Notamacropus eugenii: one gene and its partner. The protein of the gene in region 1 interacts with the protein of each later gene in a pairwise test. Links are inferred from orthologs where the notes say so. Each region holds a gene or a part of one and is shown on either strand. Other genes may lie near its edges. The genes, in order: ZMYM2 and FOXP1.

Region 1 (9,169 bases):
GGATGTTGGCTCTCTGGGAGGGGGAAGGGAGAGATATTGGGAGAAATTTGGGAATGTAAAAGAGATACAAAAACAATTTTATTCTTAAAGAAATCTTAATTTTTCAAATCTCACATCCTATCTCTGTACCAATAAATTAGAATGTTTATTAGAAATGCTAATGGTTAATAAATGTTAGAGAACTAAAGAGCAGGTCAATATACAAAAGTGCTATTTTGGGGTAGAAAACATTAAAACTAAAAATACATTGAGTTGTTTTACATAATAGTGACTGAATGAAGTAAGCCATAGACACTTGCCCAATCTCCAAATGAAAGGAAATAATGTATTTGTGAAATGGTTGGGGTAAGGACCTAGGTTCAGCAGAATAGTTAAAAACTGATCAGCCCTTACAAAGGTCAAGCACCCAGAGTTAAAATGACCTTGCAGGCCATCTGGCCCAATCTGAAATGTTATCCCTTCCTTTATCACCACCAAGTGGTTAGGTGCACAGGCTTTGCTTTAACACCTCCAATACCACACTGTGAGGTCCAAATCTGTTAACTTCTTGCCTATTTCTACTCTCCTTTGGAGGTACTCTAGGTTAGTATCTCCTAAAAAACATAGTTCCCAAATTGAGCACAATATTCCTGATGGAGTCTAACAAAGAATACAAACTGATTATTTCCCTTTACTTCCACTATTAGAGCCTAAGAAGTGACCGGCAGATTTGGGCTCAATTTTAGACCTTCCTAACAGATAAAGTTATCTGAAAACATTGTAGGTAGTCTTTAAGGAAGAGTTCCTTAGTATTAAATATGTTCAAGCTAGAAACAAAGCAACCACTTATGAATGTTGAAGGGCATTCATACATTAGCTAATGTGTGGTCAGACTAGATTAACTGTTTCTTCCATGTAGAGAGTCTGATATACTTTTAAGAGAAAACTGTTCTACTAAAGCACTCTTCCCAGGCATCTCACAAATGCATATATTGTGTCATTAGTCAAAGAACAGAAATAAGACAGAATATAAAACTTATAGAATACATTTAAAGGAAGATCACCTAGTGGACCAAGATACAGGGGCCCTGGCAGGCCACAGTCAACATGTGGACACAAAATGAGAAGAATTTCCTCAGACACGCATATAAATCAGTCCCACTTTGTAGTTCCTCCGACTTTTCTCTTGTAAGTTACCTGGCCCACACAAAAGAAAAAAATCTGTCCTTAGATCAGTAGCTCCATGATCTCTAATCAAAATACCTGGTACCTGACCCAGATACTTAAAATATTTTTCCTAACCAACCAAATATGATTAGAGAATATTTAAATAACCACTGGGACTAGTGGATATGCCAATATCTCTTCCACCTGCTAAAAAGAGAAAAACTAAATTAACTCAACCTACCTTATCTAGTAAGATTATACTATTAGCATCCATCAGTCACTACTGCAGAACTTGCTTAAAATATTCATTTTACAATTTCATATTTTTATGGAACACAAAAAACTTCAAGCACAAAATTTTTTCAATTAGCACAAGTTTAAATTTCACAGACAAACTTATACCTAGAGTCAATTAAGAAAACAAGGACAGAATGTAGATCCCCTAAAAAAGGGTTCTTAATCTGTGGGTCATTAACTTTTTAAAAAATATTTGGATAACTACATTTTAATAGTTTCTTTTGTAGCCCTACGTATTTTATTTTATGCACTTAAAACACTATTATGAGTAATCTATAGCCTTTGCTAGTCCGGCAAAGTCAATGACACAAAAATGGTTAAGAACCTTTGCTCTGAAGAAAGTCATTCCAGTCAATATCTGAAATGGAATGAACTAAATTTGGCAAACCTTCACAGATCTTGGGGGGATACCTCAGTAATGATATAAATATAAGATGGTATGCTGACATGTAACAGATTACCTGAACAGCTTAAATAATTTAAAATTACTTTCAGAAATATTTTAACAAACACTCACATACGCAACCTTCAGCCCAATCCACAAAAACAGATCCCCAACAATCTCAATCTTTCATTTTCATTAGTAATAAACCCAGTCTTAGGAAAAAAAAAAAACATCAAGCCATTCACATGTCTTAAGAATTTGCTTCTTACTACATTCCATTTTAGTACAGATTCTTTTTGTACCTTTCATTAACTAAAATTTAAATTCAAATCTCTTTGTTCTTTGTAAGCTTTACTTTGAATTTTCACTGAACAGTCATTTCATGGGGACAAGAGGTCCTGTTTTGTTTTGTTTTTAATTAAGACATTTACATTATATGGGAAAACATAATATAGTAAAATAAGTGTGGACTGACCATCAGGATATCGAGGTTAATCTCAACTCTGCCACTAAATGTCCATGAGTACTATTTCACTGACCTGAGCCCGTTTCCTTCTCTGCAAACAGAGGGAGTTACCCTAAGTCTCAAATGTCTCTTGAAGCTCTAAACTCCTAGGAGTCCATGACCACAAAGGACTATAAGAAAACACATCAACCTGAATAAGAGAACGTAAAAATTAAAGACAATAATTATATAGAAGTAATTCTAGTCTAAACTGAAATGCTTTACATTAGAACATTAGTTTAAATTATCTGACTTTCTGATATAGGCCAACATTTTATAAGTGACTAATAGTAAAATGTCTCATTGTGATTCTACAAAAGAAAGAATCTCTGCCTGAAGGGACTGACTAGAAGGGGCCCTAAGAAAAATAAACACCAAAACCAAATTTGAATAAAGTACCTAATGGCAAGTGCCAAAAAGCTAAAGGATCAAATGAGATATAAATGACTTTCAGGTAGGGTCCATCAAAGAAAATTACTTTAAAGATGGAGAGGCAGGGCAATCCAAGGCAAAGAAAGCTAGATCAGAAGTGCCCAGAAGTCCAAGTTAAATCGTTTGCTGCTTCCTCACTGTGCTCAAACTAACTTCATGTTATTTACAGGTATACCCACCCCTCTGTATAAATTCAACTCTCACTAAAGAATACAAAAAAAGGGAAACCACTTATTAGAAGTTATTTCAATTTCATAAGAAAGTCAATTAGTTACTTTGTTGATTACTCAAGGCAATTAACCTGAAATTTTAAAGTGGTTGAAAAAAGAATTTCATATTGCCTTAACTAAAGTAATAAAGGTAATGTACTACAAAAAAATTATTTCATTTCATCTGTCATATAACAGAGTTAAAGTCGTAGTGATTATGTTGTTTTCCAAATAAACACACAAAATGCAAGTTATAACCCATCAGTGGTCAAGTGAGCCCACAGGTCTTAACAAGCAAGTATTGGCAGGACAGCCTGAGGGGCATTGTTGGGAAGTCCAGCATGCATCAGTAGGAATGTAATGACTTGTTTACAATATGATACTATATTGCATCATCAAAATTTCAATGCAATGAAAAACCCACCAATTTACAATAAATTATTAAATTAAAGATGCATCATTTAAAAAAAATTTTTTAAATAACACACATTTCAAAAAAAATTGTTAAAAGGTTAAAGAAAGTAAATTTTCAGGGGGGCTGAGAAATTTTTTTTGAGGGAGGCCAGTAGGCCAAATAAGTTTGGGAACCTCTGAGCTTGGTGGTATAGTGGAAGACAGACTGGAGAGTCAGGCAGACATGGTTTTAAATCTCACTTCGGAAAATAGCTATTTGTCCCTGGGCAAGTCACAGCCTCTGAAGCTTAGTTTCCTCATCTGTAAAACAGGAGTATCAACAGCACCTATCTCACAGGGTTCTTATCAAGAACAAATGAAACACCTATACAAAGCACTATGAAAATCTTAAATGTCAGTTACTATAATTAATATTTTTATATATCTATGCCATCACCCTCATTAATAGGATAAAGCTGATCATAGCAAAGGCACACAAAAATAAATTTTCATCCCTCTTTCAAGGATCTACTAGATAGCTCTTCATTTGTGTTCAGTATCACAGTTAATATCCATCTGTCCTTCCGGTTTTTAAACAACTATAAGATTAAAAACACATGGGGAAAATATCTGAACACTAACCACCTTGAAGTATTTATGATTCAATGTTACCGAACACTAACCAGCTTGAAGTAGTTATGATTCAATGTTACATCAAAAAAAGGTGCTGAAAAAGAACAAGGTATCCAGCATAATTCAGGATCTTTATTTTTTACATTAACAGGTCCATCTATTGAAAAGAGTTGTTTATTATTAAATCTAATATTTTTAAAGATATTTATATTCCTTTTAAAAGAAAGGGCAAGAAAATCAAATTAATCATTAGCCTTACCTTCTTTAGAAATTGCTAGATGAGTTTGGAAGCTTTATTTCACACGTGTAATTTTATTCCATTTTAAATGCATTTATACATCCTTCCATTCTCAGAAATACTACACTTTAACATACGAAATTCAGTGGCTTTGGATTGGATGTGATTAACTTTTCTTGAGTATTTGGTGTTTACTGCATATTTATGCAATAACCTGCAAAACTGAAGCAGCGCCCCTAGCGAGAGTCCTATAAATCCCGATTAAACAAAATTCCATGGTTTCCCAAAATACATTGTTGAGAGGTATGGCGTTCACTTTTGTCACTTTATTACTTTATACTCTGGAAATCTTAGCTTTAAGGAAAAGAAAGTTTCAAACACAACGACAAATTACAACCATTAAAGTCTAATTCTCATTTAATAATCAATACAGAAAAATATATCTAACATCAAATCCAGAGACTTTGGAAATCAAGGCAAATAAGGATCTTAAGTCTGTTCAGCATTGCCACACACTAGGATGAAACCACGGCAGCTCTCGGCACCCGAACTCAAAGCTTTAGGAAGCGTCTCATCACCCACGCGACGACGGGACCTCCGTTTTTAAACAAACAGAACACCAAATAACAGATTCGTTTTCCTTCGTCCAGCGTCTCCTGTGCCTTCTCGGCCAGAAGCGGGTGGCAGAGATGCCTAGGGCATCTCCCCAGCTCATCTTGAGTCGGCTCCGGTTCCCACCCGCAGACTCTAGGGGGCACCAGCCAAGTGCCCTCCCCCCGGTAACGTGAGCAGCTGCAGCCCGTCGTCGGGGGGCTCGGGCCGCTCTCGCAGCCGCAGGAGCCGCGTCGGTGGCGGCCGGGCCACAGAGCCCACCCCCGCCGCCTTCCCAGCCAGTCCCGGGTCTTCGCCCCAGGGGCAGCTACCACCCGAGCAATGGCTCCTCCTTCTCAAGACAACAGAGGCCGGCGGCGAATCCCGGAGGTTTAACACCCCCCCCTCACCCCGGGGCTAGGCCCGCAAAAGGAGACAAATAACGAGAAAAGGACTCACAATGGGGGACTCTCCTCCGTAGTTTCGGCCAAAGCTGGGCCAGATGGGGCTGGAAAGGATTTCTGGTCCTACGAAAACAGAGAAGAGATTTGAACGAGAATCAAGTGGCCCCAATAAGGCCGCGTCCCCCCGCCCTGGGGGTGGGGGTGGTGGAGGTCGGGCCTCATTTCCTCCCCTCCGAGCCCCGAGGGCCACCCCCCACCCCCCCGCCCCGGCGCCCGGGCCAGGTCTAGAGAGGCGACATGGGCCAGCACGCATCCGCGCCCTCTGCTCTGGGAGGGGGAAGCCAGAGCCTCGACGCCAGGAGGGAGAGGACGTTCCTTCCGAAGGGGGCCCTGCCGGCCTCCTCTTCCACGAATCCAGACGTCCGCACCGCACTCCCGGACACTCACGTCACCGCCGGCCCGCGATCTCCCCATCTGCCCCCAGCAGTTGCCCCGGGCCCGGGGTTGGCCCCCCCTGCAGTCGGCGGCCGGCAGCGCTGCCTCCCCGTCCGCCATTAGAGACCCAGGCAAACAATACGGGAGACGCAGGAGCGTCGCAGGGCAGCGCCTGGGACGGCGGGGGGCCGACGACCGGGTTCTCCGTGGGGAAAGGGGGCAGCCCCCCAACAACTCCGGAGAAATAGCGGCGGCAATAGCCCGCCCGAGGCGGGGGGAACCCGGGTCCCCACCGCCGCCGCCCCCCTCCAGCTCCCTCAGCGTCACCTCCCCCCTCAGAAACCGAGACGGAAAGGAAAAATACCCCGGCCTCCGAACGCCCCGACTGCCAAACCCGCGGGGCTGCCCCCTCCGCGGCCTCGTCTCCCCGCCGGCGCCCGGCCCTGCCCCTCGCTCAGCCCCGGGGCCCGGCGGACCGGGCCGTGCTGCGCCGCAATGGGCCTCGGACCCGAGAGGAGGGAGAGACCCCGGGGCAGCCCCCGAGGCCCTGCACGGCCGCAGCGCCGCACTACGGGGTAACAAGCCGGAGGAGGTGGGAGGCTCCTTCGGTGGCTCACCCGTCTCCGCCTCTCCAGTCGCCTCCTCCGGAGGCAGTGCTGCCCCCAGCCACCCCCACCATCAGCGGACCGAGCTGGGGAAAGAGTGGGGGATAATCCTCACCCGGTTCTGGCTGCGGCTCCACGGAACGAACCTCCCCTCCCCCGCCCCACCCCCCCCTTCGGTAACACGCACAACTCCACTCGGTCCAGTCCCGGGCTAAGCGCTGGCGAGGAGGAGGAGGAGGCGGCACAACCGAGCCCCACGAGGCTCCGCCTACCCGGACGAGGACTGGCTGCCGGGAGGCACGGGCGGGGGTGTTTAGAACGCGTCAATTGGCCAGCAGGATAATCTTTCACCGTCCCGCCTTCGCAGGGTGGTCTAAAAGGTCGTCCGTCAAACTTTGGCCACGCCCAGAGTCCCCCCTTCCACTCCTCCCCCTCTCCCCCAAACCCCCTCCCCCATCCTCATTCCCTCCCCACCCCAACCCCCCGCTGGATCTTTCTGGTTATGGCAAATGTGAATTTGGTTGCCCACTACCACCAGCCCAGGGTTGCTACTTAGGGGCACAGGCGGGTGAAAACAGAAGCTGTGGCAAATGGGAATGGGACTAAGGGGCCCTTCTGTCTTCACCCAGGCCTGGGCACTCAATCTTGTGCAGCAACTGCAGCAGCTAAAGAACTCTCCCTACAGGAATAAGTGGGGAAAGACACCAACAGCCCAGATGCCCCCAAATCCTTTTCCCCACCCCGACTCCAATCTCCCTTACGCCCCCGGAGATGGGGCAAGAAGTGGACAGGAGCTGCCATTGGAATGCCAGGCTAAAGGGAAGGGATGGGGTAAAACTCTTCAAGCCTCTTGAGGGAAGGGGAGCTTCACTCTTTCTAACCCTCTCCCCCCCCATGGGGAATACCCCCCTTTCCCTCCCCTCCTTGTCATGGCTGCAGGAGGAGGAGACGGCGTCCTCCATTTTGTCGGAAGCTGCTGTGGGAACTTGGGACCAATTCAAAACCAAACCCAGTGGGGCTAAAGCCACTTCCCCCTCTAAGCCCCAGCCTGGAGCGGTCGTTTGACCGTGGGGGCATTCCCTGCCTCGAGCATGTGGAGGTGAGGGGCTAGAGGAAGCCAGAGGGCTTGGAGAGGGAGGTGAGAGATCAAGGCGCTCCTCCCCGCCTCCATCAACCAAAATGGAGGAAGCTGCGGACTCCCCTGAAGCCTGGACTCCCGCTTGTTGGAGGGGCTGGAGCTTTCCCCTTGGTCTGTCACAAGACGGTGCAGCTCCCTCCGCCCCGGCAGCCTCCTCGCCTCCTCCTGCTCCCCCGTTCTCAGGCGGCCGTCTCAACAGCCTTCCACCACCTCTGGTCGTCCAAGGTTGGCTGGAGCTCCAGACTCTAGGCTCCTCCATGACCGGGGGGCGGGGCGGCCCCCAGGCCCCCCGGGCACGACCCGAGCTCGGGGACCCTCCCTGCCCCTCCCTGCCCGCCCCCGGGCATCGGGCAGCCCGAGGCCCCACGAGTTCCTCTCCCGGTATCCGTCTGATGCCGGCGGAATGGTGGGGCTCCACTGCCGAGGCTCCAGCGTGCCCTGCGGGGAGAAGCGCCGCGAGGGCGCTGCAGCCGGGCCCCAGCAGGAGCCTGGGGGCTAGAAATGACGGCCGGGCGGGCGAGGAGAGGCTGGGGAGGCCGCTCGCCCGCCTGCAAGCTCAGCATTGTCTGTCTAACCGCGGGTGCCGGAGCGCCCCGGCGACTGAACGCCCCGACTCGAGGCCGGGCGAGCACGAAGTTTTTAATGAAGTTAATCATCCATGAAGGGCGCTGCAAGACTGGTGCACGAGCCTTCCTAACAGATTCAATTTAGAGAGGATAATTTGGTAGAAACGGAAGATTTCTCGAATCAAATTATGCTGGGCTGGTTGGTCATGTTGGGGGCGGTGGGGGGACTGAGCAAGTCCTTCTACCTGGGATTTAAGGTGCTGGATTTGAACTCCTCCCCCCCTTTTTTTTAATGCAATAAGCATCATTTGTGTGACCCTGAGCAACTCTCTTCTCTCAGCCTCCATTTCCTCACCTGCAAAAGGGGTCTGATAATTGCACTCACTTTAAAGGGCTCAAATGAGCTAACATTTTGTAAAAAGAACTTTGCCAACTCTAAGCCTATATGACTGTTAGGTAATATTATTAGCGGCTACGAGAGCCTTCATGACCTAGCCCCCTCCTACCTTTCCACTCTTCTTACACTTTACTTCCCCAAGGTACACTTCAATCCAGGGGCACTGGCCTCCTGGCTGATCACCAACTACTAGACTCTCCATCTCCTGGCTATGGGCATTATCTCTGGCTATTCCCAGAGTGTGGAGTGCTTTCCCTCCTCCGCTCTACTGACCTTCTTAGCTTTCTTCCAAGTCTCAACTAAAATGCCACTTCCCCAGCCACTCTTGATTCTGTGTCTTCTTTCTGTTTAATTATTTTCTATTTATTCTTGCTTTGTATATATTTGTTTGCCTGTTATTCCACTACCACTACCCATTGTTGGATTGTAAATTTCTTGAAGGCAAGGACTGCCCTTTCTTCTTTCTTCATCCCCAGCACTTAGCGCTGTGCCTGGCATATAATAAGTGCTTAATAAATGTTTACTAAATTTAATTGAACTATCAAAAAACTATTTTACTAATAGTTCATATCAATATTCTCAATAGGATTCTTTTTAAAGATTATTTTATTTCATAGTTGCATTCATGCATAAAATTCTTTCAATACAATGTTATTGAAACTAATATACTTGTTACATTTCTGTTCTGATAAACCTTGTGTCACCAGTCACCATTAAAGTTCCCTTCCCCACCCCCAACCACATTACTTAAAGTAAATATATAAATTAAGAAAAAGTTAAACCAGGATTATAATG
Region 2 (9,169 bases), on another chromosome or scaffold:
TGAATAAAAGTTGCAAAGTGGCCATGCTTAATAATATGCTGAGAAGTCAATATAATATTTTTTGAAATTTTTGCTTTGCCTTTTAAAAAAGAAATCAAGAAGTGACCAACCCCATACTGTTTCAGGAAGAAATGCTTCTGTTGAACATAAGTTTTACACTGCTACATCAAATACCTCACCCCTCCCCTAACAATACAGATCTTTTTTTTTCTTTCAGACTGGAGATGAGAGAATTTTAGCAAACTCTAATTGGGGAGTGTAATTTTGGTGAAAGACAAGAATTCCACTATGTGGTTCTGAGAAGTTCAACTCATATGAGAATGCAAAGACCCATTCTGCTATTTCTGGGTGGAGTTCAGATCGCCAGAGTCCATTTTAAAAATTAACTTGTTTAGCCACTCAGAAAGCTGAAGAAATAAAAATAACGACTGAAGAGACTACAGATCTTTCTTTCCAAGTTAACCTTCGGTTGCCCAACAAAGATCAGCATTTGCAATGGTCCATTTCTGCATAAGTGAACATAGAGTCTGGCTGCCTAAAGGCACGGTACAGAGCTTTCCCTGAGGCCGCCCCTGACAACCGCCCAGCAGCAGCTTTGTTTGATCTCCGCTGCCTTCCTTAATCTGGGTTGTCAAGGTTCACTTGTTGAAGGCTGTTTACTTTACTTTCTTCCCCCCCCCCCCAAAAAAGTGATTTTTTTTCTCTCTCCCTCATACAAAGACTAATCCAAAGACTAAGGAGAAAGAGTGCTTCCAAGGCAAGACGTTAAAGCTACAATACCTTTTTCTTTCAATGAGAGTTTAGCCAACACCTTGTGAATGGTAACTAGTTGAGTGGGGTTGTGTGTGTGTGTGTATTTAATGCTGTGTAATTATGAGATAGTTTAAATAAAGGAACTGGGAATGGGGGGAGGGAGGATATAAATTCTATTTCTGTGTGTGTATGTGTGTGTGTGTGTGTGTGTGTGTGTGACTAGGAATCTATTCTACTTTTCCTGATCTTAAAAAAAAAAAATTATGTCTACTCCGAGACTTACAAGTCCAGGGGAGGGAAAAAGAAAAAGTCATATAGCATTTCTCTCAATAACAATGAAAACAGCGAGTGCTCTTCTTTCTCAATTACATATCCTACCACACGGCACTGAACATCTGAAGTATTTCCATCTCCTTTTTAAACACTGGTGATAAGGTTCAACAAAAACTGGCCAGCACAATGGAAAAAAAAATTTCCCGAAGGCCGTTACTATGGGTAGGAGGTTACCTCTCCTCCCAGAATCACAACGTCCTAAATGTCATTGCTTTACTTATTCAGCTTCCTTCTTCAGTATCAATTATCAAGGACAGGAATCGCTAAATGTAAAGTGTATATGGTCTGCATGTTTCAGATCCCTCTAGAATGCATACAGTATGTACTGTGTGGGGTTTTGAGATATGGAGACTTATTTCAATGGCAACTGCAAGAAATTAAATCCTAACAAGATCCCTGGGAGGGAATATCAGCTCACCTCTAATTCTTCAAAGTAGATTTCAGAAGCACAGAAATAATCAATGCAATAGTTACATTAATTTCATCCTTCAGCCTAGTGAAGGGGTTTTTTGGGGGGGGGGGGAGTAGTTTCATTTCAACCTTTCTGGTTGAGCAAAAGAAAAAAACAAATTTAGTAAGATGGGCACAGACTAAATCAATATACTTTGTAATCAGCCCAGCAATGGGATTTGAACACAATGACTTGGAAATAATTAATAGTTAGAAGGAGAGTGAGGGGGTGAGAAGAGGGGACAGGAATGTCACCATATTTTATAGCAGCACGTATACGATAGGGCTAAACTTTGATCTCGGATCTGCTGCTTTTAAAAAAGGGGAAAATTCCATTTTTTAAAAAAACACCTATCCTCTGAAGGATGCGCCCTTTGCTGTTTCCCTTTTCCTTATCCCTAAATGAAACCAGAGTTGTAAAGTCTGGGGCTTTGGCAAGAAAGCACTCGTTCTTCCTCAACCTTGCTCTCAGCTTTTCCAACTGCACGCACACACACACACACACACACACACACACACACACACACACACACACACAATCCTCCCCCTCCTCCTTCTCCTAGGGTCCCACAGACCTGCGATCCGAGACGCCTCAGTTTCTGCCGAGTGTCCTCCACTTACCCGGAACAGAGAGACAGGTCAGCCGAGCTCTTAGCGTGCCCACTCTGAGGCTAGCAGAACCCGCACGACCATCTCCTCCCTAGCACCATCTGCTGCTGCTGCTGGGACTGCTTCGGCGGCGGCGGTGGTGGTAGCGGCTGCGGCTGCTGCTGCTGCTGCCGGGGCTGCCTCGGGCGCTCGCCCGTTCGTTTCCTCCTGCAGACAAACTTTCGGCTCAATGGTCGGCCAGAGACCAGGGCTGCTTGCAACAAGTCTCCAGAATACAGGTTTGGGGATGGGGGCGGGGGGGATGGGGAAGTAAGGGGAGAAATAATGGGAGAATGTCCGCGATTGTGTGATTGTGATTGTGTGCGTGTGTGTGTGTGTGTGTGTGTGTGTGTGTGTGTGTGTGTGTGTAGGAGTGAACCCCAGAAAGAGTGGGAGACAGACGCCTCAGAACTCCCTGGTATGAGAAATCGGGATCTGGAAACAGACACAGGCAGGGACTCTCTGAAAAGTCTTCCTCCCCTCGGCCCTGCTCTCACAAAGTTGCGACCACAACAACAACAAAAAGGGGGGAGGAATAGAAAAAATAAGGGGGAGGGGTGGAAGAAGCAGTCCCAGGCTCAAGGTCTGAAGTTTCCACCGTTTATTTAGTCCTGAATCTCTTAAGGGGGACAGGGGAGGGGGGGGCGGGTGTGAGTGAATGGGGAGGGTGGCGGATGAGGGGAGGAGGGTTTAGACAGCAAACCGGGTGTGGGGGGGGGGGGGAGACTAGGGGGAGACTGTGATTTGGCTTCTCTAAGCAGCCCGAGTCCCTGCTCCCCGACAGCCTCGGGGTAGGCGATGGAGGCGGAGACCACAACAGGTGGGCAGGGGGGTCTGCGAGGCTCGATAAATGCCCCCAAATATATATGTCTATATATCAAAGTTTCCGCTGTTTGTTGGCGGTGTGTCCGTGTTGAGAGTATGTGTCCGTGTGTGCGCGCGCGCGCGAGTGTGTAGGGACTGGGGGAAGTCTGCGGGGGGAGAAAGGAAGGGGGGGATATGGTGGTGTTGGAGGAGGAGGAGGAGGAGGAAGAGGAGGGGGGAGGCAGGCTCCGCGTCTGGGAGTTTAGGCAGACTAATGACCCCGGGCCGCCTGGGCAGCCGCAGCGGCGGCGGCGGCGGCGGCAGCAGCAGCAACTTCAGCAGTCGAGGCCCGCCGGCCGGCAGGCAAGCAGTCAGGCTGGCAGCGGGGCGGCCGGGCAGGCCAGCCGGGAGAGAGTCGGGCGGGCGGGCAGGCAGGCAGGCTGGCAGCGGGGCGGCCGGGCAGGCCAGCCGAGAAGAGAGGCAGGCAAGCAGGCAGGGCAACACCGTGAGCGCCCGCCTGCTGCGGGTGCTGCTAGACAAGGGTCGGCCCAAAGGGATCGACTGACGTGGGGGGACAGACAGACCTAGAGACAGAGTGAAAGAGAGAGGCGAGGGCAGTCAGGGAGGGGCGAACGAACGGACCGACAGACGGACACAGAGGGAGAGAAAAGAAGGTGAGATCCCCTCTGTCTGTACAGTCCGAAATAATCACCCGAGATAAGTCGCGACGCGTGTGAATCTGATAGAGGGGAGCAATCAGAACTTGAGAAATTCCCCAGATTGAGAAAGCACACACACACACACACACACACACACACACACACACACCACACCACACAGACACACACACACACACAAAATCACGGCCAGGATTGTAGAAGACTCTAGTTCATAGGGTCATTGCAAAGTCTTGCGAGAAAGGGTTGAGACTAGCCAGTCTTCTCAGCTGTTTGAGTGTGCTTCTCTGTGTGCTTGTATGTGTGTCAGTGTGGTTGTGTCTCTGAATTCGGTATAGAAGTAGCTGGGAACAGTGCGCACACTTGGGAGTGTGAGGTGAATGTTTTCGCTGAAAGGCGTGTGAGTGTGAAAGTGCACGAGGCTCCCAGTGGGTGCCCCTCGTGGGGTACCCGGGGCCTGTCTGCTGGAGCCCACGAGGTAGGTGGGACTAAGAAGGGGCAGACCCAGGAAGGAAAAAAAAAGTTTCTTAAAGTCTTAAGTGAAGGTGCTTGAGTGGTCGCGTCCCCACCTCCCCTCCGGGTCACTGTCAGCAGAGCTAGTCCGCCCCACACAGACATTCTCTTCCCTCCCCCCCAACTCCCCCAGGAGGCCCGAGGCCCGGCCGATCCTCTCCGGGTCTGGAGCAGCCCCCTCAGTCCCTACAGACCTTTGCTCCTCCCTTCCTCCCTCCCGTTTCCCTCCCTCTCCGCTCAGCTCAGCGCCCACAACCACTTTCCATTCAACTGGCAACAGTATCGACTCCAACTCCGGGAATCTAAAGTTACACTACGCTTTTATTTGTTTATTTCACCGAAGCTACTGTGTCCACCGGCCAGAGCCCGAGACGTGAGGGAGGGGGAGAAACCGGGGCTGGAGAGGAGGCTGGAGGGCCAGGAGGTGCGAGGCTGGGGGGAACGGGAGAGCGAGCCCCGGGAGCCTCCAAGCCGGGAACCTCGCCTAGCCTCGCCTCTCCTCTCCTTGCCTCGCCGCGCCCGGCCCGCCACTGAGAAGCTTTGGATCACACTTATGCAAATATACCGACAGATGCAAGAGCATCACAAACAGAGGACCCCCCCTACCCCCCAGCCAGCGCCCCCCCCCAACCCCCTAAGAGACAGAGACTGAGGGAAAGGAGGGAGGCAGAAGAGAGAGGGAGACACACGTGGAGGCTGATCGTGGAAAAAAAAGTAGTTGGGGGGTTGCTCTCTTTTTTTTTTTTTGCTGTTTTGGTTCTTTGGGGGGGGGGGTTGTTGTTGTTGTTGTTTTAAGTGGAGAAAACAAGCAGGAGACGGCTGGAAAAGTGGAGCAGAAATGGAAAAATACAAACTCACCCGCTGCAAACGGTCTCTCGGTGCAAACTAAGGTGTTTTCTGTCCTTTACACACGTACGCTCGCCCTCGCGCGCACACCCGCGTGCACACCCGCGCGCACACACGCACACACTCATAGGCGAGGGCTTGTGTCGCTGCTGCATGCAACAGCCACACGATAAATAACAATAGATTCCTCCGCTCCGGACTAGCTTCCAGGAGAGGCTGAGGCTCCGGCTCCGGCTCCGGCTCTGGCTCCAGCTCTCCCTCGGCAGCGGTGTTGGCGGCAGCAGCAGCAGAAGCAACCCCAACAGAGGCGGCGGCGGCGGCGGCGGCGGCGGCGGCGGGGAGGAGATGGGAAGCGCCAGGCCAGGTTGCACCCCCCCCTCCCCCACCCGCAAACATGCACTCACACACACACGCACGCACACACTGCACACACACGGACACACACGCACGCACCCCGCTCCCTGGCCCGCGGCCCCGGTTCCTGCCCCGGCTCAGCTCGAAGGGCTTCCCGGCCACTTTCGAATTTGCACCCACCCCCAAAATAAATAAATAAATGGGGAGCGAGCCGAGAGGAAAACAAATCGCGGATGGAGATGTTGTTATTTTTTGCTGTTGTGAGTCTCTGACGTCACATCCACCTGCTGGGTAAACAAGGCTCTGTGCAAAATATCGCTATTGCAAAACGGAGGGAAGAGGGGGAAGGAGAGAGGAGGGGAGGGGGAGAGCCTCGAGGCAGCGGGCCTAGCCCCTAGGACCGGGGAGAAGGGGCGAGAGGGGCAGGCGCAGGGGAGGGATGCTGGGAGCGGGTCAGGGAAGACCTGGAAAACAAACAGCCTGCCAGAGGAGGGGGAAAGAGAGACTGAGATTGCTTAGAAGAAAGAGAAATCGGACCAGTTTAGGGACTGGAGAGGAGAGGGGGAGAGCTACTTAGGCAGGGAGAGGGCCGGAGAGGATGAGAAATAGTTTGTTTATTTTTGACCTCCCTAAAATAAAAACAGAAGATTCGGAGGGACCCGAAGCAAGGAGCTGTTAAAAGTGAAAGTGCTTTCCAACCCGTGGTAGTTGAAGGAGAGGCTTTTTCTTTCCTTCACCACCACCCCCTTCCTCCCTCCTCTGGCTCTTCTCTTTCTGCACTTTGTCCAATGAAAGGAGGCGAGTTCGAGAGGTGAAAGTTCAGCAGAAGGACAATTCCATGTTTGCTAGGAAACAGAAATCTCTCCAACCAGGGCTTTCCCTGTCTCCATCCTTGGGTCAGAAAGGATGAAAATGTGATGAGACAGACTTATCTTTTTCTGGCTCACGTAAGAGTTACTGGAGGAATTCTGTAGTTCTGGCCAGTTTGTAAAAAGTGCCCACATCTATGCTCGTGAGAGGCTGTTTGTTTTTGTTCAGTGTGCCTCTTAGGAAAACTCCTAGGAGCTAGAATGCCAATTAGGAGTTTAACACAAATTGCCTGCTCTTGCAGAGATCAGTCATACCCAGAAAGCTTTGTTGCATATAGTCCAGTTCAGACAAGGTGACATCTGTTTGTAATGATGAAGATTCACTAGGTTTGAGAAATTTGTCTGGATGGCTGGATGATGTGGAGAATGTAGAATGCTGAATAAAACGACATCAGACTTGCTTGGAATTAAGCACTATGCAGAGGGATATATATATGCATATGTATGTATACACACATACATTCATCTATACACACATATATACACACAGAGGCATCTATAGATGTGTACATCGACTTATTGGTAAATGAAAATGAGGAAGGTCAGGGGAATGTGTATGTATATCAGCACACACACGCATACACACACACATACACATATATCCCTGAAACAAAAGGAGGAATTATGGATCTTATATTTTCATGTTACAAATTAGAAAATCTCTGCTTTAAGTCTATAACCAGTAGTTAAAAGGGATAGTTTTTATAGAAAATTAATAAAGATTACCTTCTGTGCCCAAACTCCAGACCAGCTTTTTGATAAAGACATTTTCATTTGTGGGATATGAGGTAAATGAGGCCACTGAGGGGATAGGGATGTAAAACCATAACATTGAAAGCAGTTGTTTGCATCCTCCAAAGTAATTTCAGCATTTGAAATCTCAGGAGAACATTATTTCTTTAGCTCTAATACGCTAATAATGGTGTGAATAACAAACATCTTCAAAATTGAAATGTAGGGGGAAGTGCTTTTTAAAAAGTGACAGTATTTCTCTCTCTGAGGTTTGCTTGCCTTGTTTTCTAAAATTATTTAGTTGTATTTTTACGTACTTTATATGTTGCTCTGAAGAGTCTCATGTACTACCTGTTGCCTGTTGGATAGTATTTGAATTAAAATTCCAAATTACCTTGGTCATATAATTTGTCTCTTTGCAATATTGTCACACATAATGCTTGCTGATGAGATATTTTAAGCAGTAATTCAGTGGTGATGTAAGGAGTATCATTTTAAAGCGGTATCTTTATGTTTTTAAATGGATACAACACATTAAAAAGCAAAAGAATTCAATAGATGAAGACTGCAAACCCACCCTGTGCCAATGTAATTCATACTCAATATATGTTGTATAAGGTTACACAGTATTCTCGGACACACAATCATTAGATCATTCAGCGTAATTCTAAAGAGGTAAAGATGTGGGTTTGGTCCTTTGGACATTCTTCACCCTTCAAGATGAAGGCTAGGTCTCCATGTACACTCCTCCCCTGATTTCATATGTTACCTACCACTCTTTCTCTTTAAGCTTTGTCAGGCTTCCTGGCAAGCCACAGAAAAAGTTCCCTGGGATGGCTAAGTCAATGTCAAGAGCTGGTAGAAGGATGGCCTCCTTCCAAAGTATAGTGACAGGACTCCCAGTGGGTAAACTAGCTAAGGGCAGATGTTTCAGAGGCTTTCTTATCTAACGTATATATCTTCATTACCTGTTCTGGACATGTTCCTTGTACGAAACTCTCCTTGACATCAGTGGATATTCCAAATACAGGAAGCGAAGAAACTGTGAAATACAAATCCATAGGCCATATTGGAGAAGAGAATACCCTTTTGTTCTTAAACGTTTTTTCCAGATCCTGAAAGCAGCTGGTAAATGAAGGCCTGTAGCAACACAATTGGGGGAAAATGTTCATTTATTTTAACTTGACTAATCTAGCAATATTTCATAAGAACAAACACAGATCCTCATCTTATTTTTCAGATAAAGTCACTTTTTATTGTGTTTGTCAAGGATTTAAAAGATCTTGAATAGGCCATAAATCTATTTCTACATTTTTAGATTATATATAGATGTGTATGTGTGTATCTCAGATTATAAAATAGATTATTTAGGTTATATATAAATATATAATATACATATACATGTATATATATATATATATATGTATGAATATATATGCATACACACATTCACTTCAGATTTGGAACTGAAATCAGGTTTGCAACAAGTTTCAGAGACAAGAGGGAACCTTCATGGTTTCCTGTGATACACTAGAGTCAATTTTGTATATGAAACCGTCTAGTGCTGCATTATTAAAGAACTACATATCCATTTGGTTTATATTAGCAAGAAACTTAACTACAGCTTAACATATTGTTCATTTTCAACACTCTCATGTTGCATTCATATGGAGCACATTTTGATTTCTTGATCAGTAATCAAGTGGAAGTTTCTTTTTGGCAAATTAGAGGAAGGGTTGAAAAGAAAGGGCATGGGAGTAGAACGCCACCTTTTGGCAGAAAATTAAATAGATATTCACTTAAAAAACAGATGCTCCTAACATTATATTAATATAAAACTACACACACACACACACACACACACACACACACACACACCCATTTGCCCACAGTAACAACCAAGATAATGGCAACATTACTAACATGGTTATATGCATCCATAAAGAAATTTTAAAATATGTTAGAACACACTATGTTTTTATTATGTAACTAAACAAGTATAAATTCTTTTCCCCCTGAAAAGATTGCATTTCACCCCTGGAATAGGAAGATGGGTGTGTACATGTGTTTGTGTGTAGCATGTATGTTTGAATATTCTTGGGGAGAGGTTAAAAAAATAAACATTTTGAATTTGAATTTAATGATGCATAGTCTATGATTTGGCCAAGGTTTTGACCCAGTCACTTTGTG

The links.
Region 2: the proteins of ZMYM2 (region 1) and FOXP1 come close enough for resonance energy transfer, tested with the Homo sapiens proteins (2 studies listed by BioGRID). The link is inferred for Notamacropus eugenii from reciprocal best matches to the Homo sapiens genes ZMYM2 and FOXP1.

What each region holds. Positions count from the first base shown.
Region 1 is NC_092876.1:186,827,888-186,837,056, reverse strand, and holds the start of ZMYM2 (zinc finger MYM-type protein 2), read right to left. Parts: upstream 6,497-9,169; 5' UTR 6,389-6,496; intron 5,357-6,388; 5' UTR 5,289-5,356; intron 2,485-5,288; exon of another isoform or gene 2,368-2,484; intron 1-2,367. UniProt on the Homo sapiens protein: Involved in the negative regulation of transcription.
Region 2 is NC_092874.1:451,886,664-451,895,832, reverse strand, and holds the start of FOXP1 (forkhead box protein P1), read right to left. Parts: upstream 5,228-9,169; 5' UTR 5,037-5,227; intron 2,424-5,036; coding exon of another isoform or gene 2,212-2,423; exon of another isoform or gene 2,158-2,211; intron 1-2,157. Other genes in the region: uncharacterized protein, read left to right, coding at 2,212-2,423, 5,228-5,573. UniProt on the Homo sapiens protein: Transcriptional repressor. Can act with CTBP1 to synergistically repress transcription but CTPBP1 is not essential. Plays an important role in the specification and differentiation of lung epithelium.